2 linked regions of the Drosophila melanogaster genome follow. The protein of the gene in region 1 interacts with the protein of each later gene in a pairwise test. Each region holds a gene or a part of one and is shown in the gene's direction. Other genes may lie near its edges.

Region 1 (4,850 bases):
AAAATGCAAATGTTCTAACCAATCTTGCTATTTTCAGTCCAAATGATTTTTATTTATAACTTGGCTTTTGGGCAATCCCCATTCTCTTAATGACTCGCTCAGAGGCGTAACCTCTGCAGCGCCTTAGAATTCCTCGGAGTTCCTGGTATGCAAATTAGCCGCCACAATGAGCTCATCTTGCCTTCAGCGAATCCCAGACGAAATCCCAATCCGCTTCTCCTGCCTCTGCCGAAGTCGACGGCGGCGTCTACGTCCACCGCGACAGCGACGGCTGCGCATGCGCCTGCGCAGACTGCGGCGCGGATTTGCAAAGTCGATGGCGAGGCGCTGATGAAGAACAACCCCGGCCTGAATTAGACGGCGCCAGCGAGCATGACAAGGTCGGCACTTAAAGGTGTCGCCAATTACGGGCCTCACCTCCCGACCTCCCAAACTCCTAGCTTCCAATAGACCAGCCACCCGTTTGGGGGGGTCTTCATCTACTTGTATGGTTTCCCCATCTTTCGAAAATCTCTTTTTCGAGTGTTTTGTGAAAACTCGCTCGAGTTAACGCTTCAGTTAAAGCCCAAATGCACTTGTGGGCAGTGCCAGCGTCGGTGGGTGTCCGTTAAATTTGAATTTCACACCGCTTAGCGCGCTCAGCAATGCGGAAAGAAAACTCTCCAAGCGCCAAACTGAAATTCTGGGATTCTTTGCTTCAGGTGCTTTAGGTTCTGATTCGACTGCTCCACTGATTCCCGGCTTCTTATAGCCAAGAATTCTCTCTCTAATTGCATCAAAAGAAACTCAAAACACATACGAAATAATCACGCAAATGTGCCTTTGTTTTGATGTTGGCACAGTGAAGAGTCTATGAATTCGTATAAGCGTTTTGGTAAGAGCTTAAAGCCTTAGAGTTTAGTAAGTTTTCACGTTTACATTTTGTGGCGGTAGTTTAATTTTTGTTAACAAATTACCCTACAAAATGCAAAAATGATCTATTTAAATAAATGCTTTCGACGTGACATTGTCTGCTATTTTTAACTATTTTAAATTGTAATGACACCAAAGAAACCAATAAATTTCTGTATTCTATTATTAACTTCTATTATTAACTAACTCATTTTAAAGGGCATTTAAAGTTTTCTAGCAACGTGAGTATGTTTTGCTGTTACAATTTCATTTTAAACAATTTTCGAGAGTCATTGCCAGGATTTGGAGGCGTGGAGCAGGGGGAAACTTGGACGAACCCCCCAAGTTGCTCTTCCCCTCCTCCTCGAGAAACCCCCCTCCCAGCAACTACTCAAGTGGGCGCAGCGTAGGCAATGCTAATGATGATAATGATGATGACGATCTGTAGAGCCAAGCTCCATCGCCTCTTGTCCCCCCATCCCCTTTCCCATTCAACACCCCCTGCCACCAAACAACTAACACTTGAAGTGAAGTTACCATCTAAATAAACAACTAAATTACACTTTGAAAAAATCTTGCCAACCTACCAAGTATAATTAGCCAAAAAACCTGTTCCCTCTCTGTATCTTTTATAAATATTATGAACCATAATTTTTAAGGATTTCATGCGAACATATTTGTCCTAAACAATAGAAGAATCTTATTGAAATAAAAATGTTAAGAACAATTTCATAATTCAAATTCTTATTTGCTTATTTTATTTTAGATATATTTGTTACTTGTTGTTGCACAATTAATCTGAGTGTGGCAACAACAATTCACCGATAGAGATGCTTACCCGCTGCCTCTGCCCGCGGCGCTGCCGCAGCACTGTCGCGTCTGCGCCGCTTTCTGCTCTTCCGATGAGTTTCGAACACAACTAAATCAGAATTTTATTCAGTTTCAATTGTTTAGCGAGTGCGGATCGGCGTCGAGTGCGCGAAGCAGCGAAAACAAGCCAAACCAAACGAGACGAGCCCCACAATAAAATAAAATAAAATAAAATAAAATAATACAAATAGTTGAATTAAATCAAAAAAAAAAAAAAAACGAGGGGCAAGGAACTAAGAAAGTAAATTAAATTAGGTGTGTACTGCTGAGGCTTTCTTGTCATTAGCGAAATTTTGAAATCTTCAAAGTGTCAAAGCGCGACGGAAATGCCGTTATATTCGCTACATTTCCCAACATAATTTACCGCGCCCCAAAAAAAGAAGAAAGTCGCCGGAACAATCTAACAATTTTCACCAACGAAATTGTTTTATTTTGGTTCTGGGAAGAATTCTTCGCTCTTAATTAATCATCAAGATTATTAGCGTAATGGTTTTTTGTTTCTGGCAACTATGAGCAAATAAGTTATTATTATTTTAGGTGATTTTGGCATTCAGATGGCCTATGCTGGATTTACGCATTGATGAGCACTTTGTCATTCGGGTTTTTAATTATCGGCCAACTTCCAAAACTTTTGGTCGAAAGGTCACAGGCACCTGTGCAGTGAACTCTGACGTCATCGCATGTAAGAAGGCTTCGCAACGCTTGGTTAGCCAGGTTATTGACTCTCGCCCTCCCTCTCCCACTTGAAGTTACAGGCCGGACCACCATCATAATTATGTGAGTCGGCTTCTTCCGCAACCGCAGAATCTTAAGCCGCCTCTTGCCCGCGAACCCATAAATAAAGCCGATCTTGGCTCATTTTAACGATCTGCATATTTTGGCAACATAATTAACGGTGAAAAGAATGTGAAAAGTAGCGAATCGTAACGCGAAAGCCCCAATCACAAAACGAGAAGAGAAAGAAATACGCGACTGCAAAGAAAGGCGGAAGAAAGAAGCAGAAGGCTTCCACGCGCCACCAGCGAGTCTCCATCTCTCAGTTCGAAATCTCGCGTCCATCCCAGCGGTGCCTCAAAGCAAATCTTCTGGCCAGAAGCCCAAGTGAAACCGTCGATGATGCAAAAAGGGAAGTGCCAAAAGAGGCGAGTTAAGTGAGAGCAAATCTAAAAGAAAGCATCGTAATATCGAAAAGCGCCGCTGGGGTTATAAACTAATCGGACCCCATGATCGCGATCAGCGATAATTCGCTTGGGCAGCGATTAAAACGCCTCCAGCTGGCATTTCTCCTCATCGCTCTTTGGGATTCTACGAGGGCACTGACGGTCGACAATCAATTGGTATCCGCAAGAAATGGTAAGTGAAATATTGCAAATTAGTGCTCACAGCTACCTATACAAAAACGTATATTTACAAACGGAATAACTGTCTTACAATTTATACAAATTGTATGCTTTATTTTGGTTTTTTGTAGAATACAATTCCTAATTTTAGAACCTTATTTTCATCGTCATTTGATACGTGACACGATTGACTGCTAGATTCATTTTTAAAGCTTAGTAAATCATCTATATACTTTGTATACCACAATTTTGGGGCTTTTTATATATGGCCTACTTAAAGCGTTTATGAACAGCACTTAAACGCTTACAATTGGTTGTTAAAACCGGCTTGATAATTTTTTAAGAACCTTTACGAGCATTATCTTTGGTTATAAAAGAGTGCTTCTATGAGCCTTTGCTCGGGCTATTGAATCATTCCCGTAGTAATGTAAATCATTGGGATATAAAATATACAATTTTTCCATCACTTTAAAGTGGGATTCTAGGATTCTATTTAGAACATACATTTCTCGGTGATTGGGTACACCGTATAATACGAATATGTATAAGGTTCCAATATCATGCAACTCCAGATTAAAATGAAATTTAATTACACCCTTAGTTAATTGGACAACTTAACAATTTTGTTTTTATTATTACAACTATTGTAATCACAAATTCCTGGACATAGTGTGCTCATGTTTAAGCTACTGACTAAAAATTAATTTGAATTTCACTACTTTGGAAACATTCAAATATTCTAAATGAGGTAATTTCTTGGAAAAGAGCATACCAATCTAATAACCATAGGCTGGGGGCCAATCCATCAAGCATGTCAGCCCACAAACACCGCAGAGCAATGTGTTTTGTTTATGGTTTGACCTTTTTGAATTATTCATGCACTGACAAAAATTCTATGGGTCACCACCCAAGTGCGCCCCACCGGCACGCAAAGTTAATAAAATTCAAATTCAAATCCAAATCCGAATGGAGAACAAAGCCAGCGAACAATCGAAAAGAGACAATTGCAGAGTCAATAAAACTAACCTACCGTAGAGTGGACGAAGTGGAGCACCAGCGGTGGCCTTGAAAGTGCAAGTGGGGTGACGCAATTGTTTAGGAGCCAAAAGGAGTAGGGGGTGGAGTTGCTTAACTGCCAGCTGAACCTTTTGTAATTGCGATCTCGCATTTGGCATCTTGCATCGACAGACTGCTTCGAGCGGATTGCACTGGAGGCGATGCTGCCATTTGAGAAGACCTTCCGCACCGAAGACACCAACTCGCTGAAGATGTGCAAGGAGAAGTGCCTGCAGGCGGGCGAGAAGTGTCAGGCCATCTCGTTCGGGTGAGTCGTCTTCCACCTGTCACCCCTTGATTGCCCAATTTCCATCTTATGTATATATGTGTTTTCCTTCTCCTTCTTTTTTTTTGGAATTTTGCAGTGTTCATCGACGCGGAAACGGCACTTGTCAGTTGTCATCGGAGCAGTACGGCTCGGGGGGCGGCGGGCGTCCGGGGGGCGTGATTTTCGATCCCGACTTTGATCTGTACACGCGCAAGACGAACTGCTTCGACTTGAGCGACAACTCGATTGCCGCTGGTCCGCAGCCCGTGCCCGGTCCCAGTCCCATTTCACCCGGACCGACGCCACTGGATCTGCCGAACAGGCCCTTGGATGTGGGCAATACGCCAGTGCTGGTGGTCAACCCCACGCCACACACTTCGGGGAGTCCACCGCCTCCGTTGGGACCGTCCCTACCGCCACCTGGC
Region 2 (5,973 bases), about 15 Mb from region 1:
TGGCCCGCGCATCTCCCCACATTTGGTTTGAGCGCGGCGAGGCCAAGGATCGTCATTTGGTGGCCGAGCGACTGAAGCAGCACGTGTCTGATCCGAACAACCCACCGATCCTTATCTTCCCGGAGGGAACTTGCATCAACAACACGTCGGTCATGCAGTTCAAGAAGGGCAGCTTCGAAGTTGGCGGCGTCATCTACCCGGTGGCCATTAAGTGAGTAGTGAATAGTTTTTCGCGGCGAAACCATTTCTCATCCGTGGGGTCTCTTTTGGCTTGAAGGTACGATCCGAGGTTCGGCGACGCCTTCTGGAACAGCGCGAAGTACTCGATGATGCAGTATCTGTACATGATGATGACCTCGTGGGCCATCGTGTGCGATGTGTGGTACCTGCCGCCGATGTACAGGCAGGAGGGAGAGTCGGCGATCGACTTCGCGAACCGCGTGAAGAGTGTCATCGCGAAGCAGGGAGGTTTGATTGATCTGGTCTGGGACGGGCAGCTGAAGCGCATGAAGCCAAAGAAGGAGTGGAGGGAGATCCAGCAAGTCGAGTTTGCCAATCGGCTGAAGTCGGACTCCACCTAAATTACCATATTACCATACAGTGACTGTAAATGATATACATACATGATTTTGCATAATTTGTATTGCAGCGACTGTAATTTGTATAAATTACGATTAACAATTGGATGGTTAAATAAAAGATGAAGTCAAATGTACAATTATAATAATTATTTGTATATTAATTAATTTATCTACTTTGTAAAATAAACGATATCTGATAAGCTGATTATCATAACATCTGGACCCGATCGCTGTAAATTCATTTCTTTGTCATGCAAAACGCCAGCCACACTCTGGCGAAGAATGGGCTCGAAGGTGAGGCCTCTTTGTTGGATGGAGCGAGACCAGGTCAGCAACCTATGGATGTTGATTTTTGGCCACCTGCATATCATGCATAGTTAAGCGGAGCCAAATGAAGCCAACAAGATGGCGAATAACTAGATTACATATTCATAATTATGCGGCTAATAATAAATACGAGTGGCTGACTCAGCGCTGCGCCAAATGTCTATTTTGCACTAATTGTCCACCCATACAGGTAATTAAGACATACATACTTCCGTGTTCCGAGTTGGAGGCGATCGGTCGATCGAGTGGTTAATTCCCGACATTCTTGGCGATGAACTAACCCTGAACTGTCGCCAAAAATAATGGTGGTATCGGATCGGATCGGCACGCGGATAAACAATGCTGGCAAAGCAAACCACATTGTCAGATTTGTCGAGTCAATGGGCCTGGCCTTCATAAATTGTTAGGCTCATTGCCAATCGCAAGTGAGCGATTTACAATTAACAAATACCCAGAGCCCCTCTATTTATAGATATGTTTATACATGGGCATCGCAGGCGCTGATGAAAAGATGCTTCACTCCATCCACATACACATCCACATCCACATCCATATTCATATTCATATCCATGTGCATATTCGTTTGGCCCCCCAATTGAAACACTTGTGGCTGGCCACTCGATCCACTCTCCAAAAACGCTCTTTCGAAAACTGGAACCTATTTTCGAACACTTTATGGCATGTAAATCCGATTCCGATTCCAAATCCGATTCCAATTCCGATCGAGCGATCAATGCGTAATGGGTTTATTTATGGATCTGGGTTGAGCAGTTATGAGCTATTTTCGAATTTCTAAGTTTAAAATAAGGCCATGAATGTACTTTGATACACATCGCATGGGTGTGCATATATTTTTAGACTACAAACATACATATTTACATCTGCGCGGATTTTGGTGTGCGTGTCGAAAGCTAATAAATTAATTGTTGCGTAAAATCAGATTACATATGGGTTAGTTGGTTGGATGGATGGTTGGTTGGTTAGTTGGTTGGTTATACGGGTAGAACCTTCGTGAGAAACAGCCCATTATATATTTCGATTTTTCCCCAAAAATCTTGCATGCCTCGCACTTGAGAGTGCAGTAGAACAAAACAAATTACTTCAAGACGAGGCAAATTCCTTCCCAGTGGGTGAAGATATAGTAATCCAAGTTAGTCTAACTGGTCTGTTACCAGCCCAGGAATGAGACATCGGGGCGTGGATATAGCCGAGAGTACACATACATAGAGCCGTGGGCATTGCATGATAAATAAATGATATATTCAGAAAGTGCTGTTTTTATTACGCAAACTGTATTTTCTTAGTTGTGCCGTGTGCATCCACAAATATAGACTACCTGTGTACAGAATCTTTCCAGTCTAGTCCGCGGCATTTCCGACGAATAGGAACTACTTCACAGAGTACCTCCGAGGTATATATCCTTAGGATTATATATATATATATATACATATATATATGTGTGTATATAATTGAATCGCGCTGATCCACCACACGCATAGCCGCTGCAGTTTGCCATAATCACAGTTTTTTGCCCCCGCAGACACACACACGCACTCAGATCAAAATGCCTTTCGTTCCCGTTGAAACCCCCAAGTGCCCCGCGTGCGGCAAGTCGGTCTACGCTGCCGAGGAGCGCGTTGCCGGAGGCTACAAATTCCACAAGACCTGCTTCAAGTGCAGTAAGTATAAATGTCCTGCCAGCCAGATCGTCTGGACTTGGTCCTTCGAGTCGGATGTCGGATAGCTAACGCAAAACCCTACCCCCCTCCCCCTCCACTCGCCCGTTTCAGGCATGTGCAACAAGGCCCTGGACTCGACCAACTGCACGGAGCACGAGAAGGAGCTTTTCTGCAAAAACTGCCATGGTCGCAAATACGGTCCCAAGGGATACGGTTTCGGTGGTGGTGCCGGCTGCCTGTCCACGGACACTGGCGCCCACTTAAACAGAGAGTAAGGACTAAATAAGAAATATGTTTTGTATGAAAATTGTGTAAAATTCCTTGAATTAAATGTGTAGTTTTGCTTTCTATTAGAACCTGTATGTTTTCAATGTTTTCCACACGCCCACCCCCAAAAAAGCAACCGAAAAATTTGTTTTTAACTTTCCGGGCAGAAACCGCCAGGGATATCCAGTTTCTGATTCCCTGGAAAATTCCACTAACACTAACCGATTGTTAATGTTAAACTAGCAAACACATTGTGGTCTTTGGTGAAATAATTCTTGTATCTTTGTTTACAACGTCCGCGGACTGTAAATTGATAAAATAAATGTACAATAAAACAAAGTAGTTGTAAGCTTATTCACATGTTATTTATAGGTTTCTATTCGCATCTCCCTCGCTGCTGTCTATGTGGATTTCGTGTATTTCCCCAATTCGTTTTTTGTTCGGGCACAACGACCGACCTTTCTGACTTTTGTTCCTCGTCTTGTGTGTGACTAAGATGAAACAACCCCCCCCCCCCCCCACATTGGATGTCCACCGAGAGCGCCGTAATTGAGGGAGGCATTTGAATCTTTCTAGATTCGTTCCGCCCAAGATTCCCCCAAAAGCACCCGACGGGCTGGGCTGCCCACGGTGTGGCATATATGTGTATGCCGCCGAGCAGATGCTGGCCAGAGGAAAGGTGAACTATTGAAACGATCTCGGTCCGTCGGCCCTTGTCTTAGGTGGTGTTCTTTATCGCAGGGTTACCATCGAAGGTGCTTTAAGTGCGTGCAATGCAACAAGACTCTAGACTCAACTCTTCACTGTGATGGTCCGGACAAGGACATTTACTGTAGAGGTACATTTCCAACCCATAGATTTTAGAGAATTAGGATCTCTAGAAGCATTCGCTTTTCAGGATGTTATGCTCAGAAGTTTGGGGCCAGGGGTTACGGGCACATCGGCATTTCGTCCTTGGGGTTGATGTCCGACATCAGGGATAGCGAGTGGCAAAGGTGAGATTAGTAGTAACACCAATTCTGGCTAGGTTATTATGTTGGTGCTTGCAGCGACATGGCTCCCAAAGCCTCCATCATAAATGTGGAGCAAATCCAGGCGCCAATCGGAGAAGGATGCCCACGTTGTGGCGGCGTAGTATTCGCCGCGGAACAAGTTCTCTCCAAGGGAAGGAGCTGGCACCGGAAGTGCTTCAAGTGTCGGGACTGCACCAAAACTCTGGACTCCATTATCGCGTGCGATGGTCCGGACAATGAGGTCTACTGCAAGACTTGCTATGGCAAGAAGTGGGGACCCCATGGCTACGGATTCGCCTGTGGATCCAGTTTCCTGCAAACCGACGGCATTACGTGAGTGGTTTCCATTCCAAGGCTCATCTTGAATTTGGATAAAACAAGCTTTCAATCATATTCGTCAAAATCCAATCCATAATTTGACTGAAAGAGATTTGTTACAGTGAGGAGAACTTGGCATCCGAACGACCCTTTGTGGCTCCGGACACCACTTCGATCATGGCTCCGGACGGCGAGGGATGTCCCCGATGTGGCGGAGCGGTCTTTGCGGCCGAGCTGCAGCTGTCCAAGGGGAAGATGTACCACAGGAAGTGCTTCAACTGCGCCAGGTGCACCCGACCCCTGGACTCGGTGCTCGCCTGTGACGGACCGGATGACAATATCTATTGCAAGCTCTGCTACGCGAAGCTCTTTGGCCCCAAAGGCGTCGGGTACGGACACACGCCCACCCTGGTGTCCACCAACTACGAGTACACGCCCAGCTGGTAAGTCCGTTGTCCAGTTCAAAGAGAGTTCGTCTGGATCCAAGGATCTCTTCTTCCAGCTGGGGAACCATCGATCGCAACGGACAAAAGTCGGAGAACGGGTGTCCGCGATGCGGATTCATGGTCTTCGCCGCGGAACAGGTGAAGAGCGCGAAGAACGTGTGGCACAAGCTCTGTTTCTACTGCATGGAGTGCCGGAAATACCTGGACTCGACCAATCTGAACGACGGACCCGATGGCGGCATCTATTGCCGATCGTGCTACGCCAAGTTCTATGGGCCAAAGGGTGTGGGCTACGGAATCGGAGCTGGCACACTGACAATGGCTTAACAACTCGACCAAAAAAGCGCGTTCAAGAACTAATCCCACCAGCATGGAATAAGCTCCAAGATTCGTGCTGGGGATTTCAGTCCTTGAGCGCCCACATTTTTGAGGATGACGAATAGGTGTAGTATTGCAATTCCACAAGAGTGTACTTTTAGCTCCAAGACAACGACATTTAGTTATGAAAGTATAGAAGGCGAATGAGTTGGCGGTGGTTAGTATAGAAATTGTATAAGTCTCGAACATAAGTACCGAAAAATGCATTCTAACCTTCGACTTGAACTTCATCGTAAAACCTGCGAAAACGAATTTCCAAACCTTGTTTATCGAGGATGCCCAAGAATCCAAAGGATTGGTGTGCAAATGCAAATGCACACCATTTTCAATCGATACCGCCATTCGAAATCCTTTGAACTTCTGAGTTACTCCCTATGATATGATATACATATATGGCAGTCGTAGCAACAAATCAATATCCTATAAGTTTCGAACGACTAATAAACGACAAGTGGTAACTTTGTACATGTGGTTCTGTTGTTTTCAAATATTTATTATATAATAAGTAATAAGTAACGGTAGGACAGATTACTTGGAGAGGGTCAAAGCGTCATCTATTGCAGGAGCTCTTTATTCAAAATATATTAACGATAATGCTAAGGGTACATAGTATGGGAACGGAAGTGGCGATCACCAGGCCGCTGCCCGAGAACGTGGAGTTGCAGCAGTCGGCGGAGAAGACAAGGATCTTGGGGTACAGCGATCTCCAGAAGTTGATCCGCTGGTTGTTCAGCAGGTTGTCCGTGTTGAAGCTCTCGTCGATCAGAAGCACTGAATCGTTATTGGGGGTCATGGCGTTCCACTTCACGTACACGTTCGACTTCGTGGGGTTCGAGGTCTTGGCGAAGTTCGCCCACAGGGTCATGATGATGTCGGCGATCTTCTTGTCGGTCGACTTCCAGTCAACGGAGTTGGTCATGTAGGGATTGCCCCACACGAAGATCTGGTCGAAGTACTTGGGCAC

Evidence for each region. The genes of interacting proteins can lie anywhere in the genome.
Region 2: the proteins of CG42326 (region 1) and Mlp60A interact in a two-hybrid assay, tested with the Drosophila melanogaster proteins (one large-scale study listed by BioGRID).

What each region holds. Positions count from the first base shown.
Region 1 is NT_033778.4:8,581,759-8,586,608, reverse strand, and holds the start of CG42326 (uncharacterized protein), read left to right. Parts: upstream 1-1,829; 5' UTR 1,830-2,016; intron 2,017-2,298; 5' UTR 2,299-2,443; intron 2,444-2,510; 5' UTR 2,511-2,984; coding exon 2,985-3,114; intron 3,115-4,289; coding exon 4,290-4,425; intron 4,426-4,522; coding exon 4,523-4,850.
Region 2 is NT_033778.4:24,072,751-24,078,723, forward strand, and holds Mlp60A (muscle LIM protein at 60A), read left to right. Parts: upstream 1-1,851; 5' UTR 1,852-2,319; intron 2,320-2,423; exon of another isoform or gene 2,424-2,448; 5' UTR 2,449-2,472; coding exon 2,473-2,587; intron 2,588-2,698; coding exon 2,699-2,858; coding exon of another isoform or gene 2,859-2,862; exon of another isoform or gene 2,863-3,204; intron 3,205-3,430; coding exon 3,431-3,533; intron 3,534-3,595; coding exon 3,596-3,692; intron 3,693-3,752; coding exon 3,753-3,849; intron 3,850-3,903; coding exon 3,904-4,200; intron 4,201-4,307; coding exon 4,308-4,628; intron 4,629-4,687; coding exon 4,688-4,958; 3' UTR 4,959-5,473; downstream 5,474-5,973. Other genes in the region: Gpat4 (Glycerol-3-phosphate acyltransferase 4), read left to right, coding at 1-211, 278-581; CG10339 (uncharacterized protein), read right to left, coding at 5,584-5,973. UniProt on the Drosophila melanogaster protein: Positive regulator of myogenesis.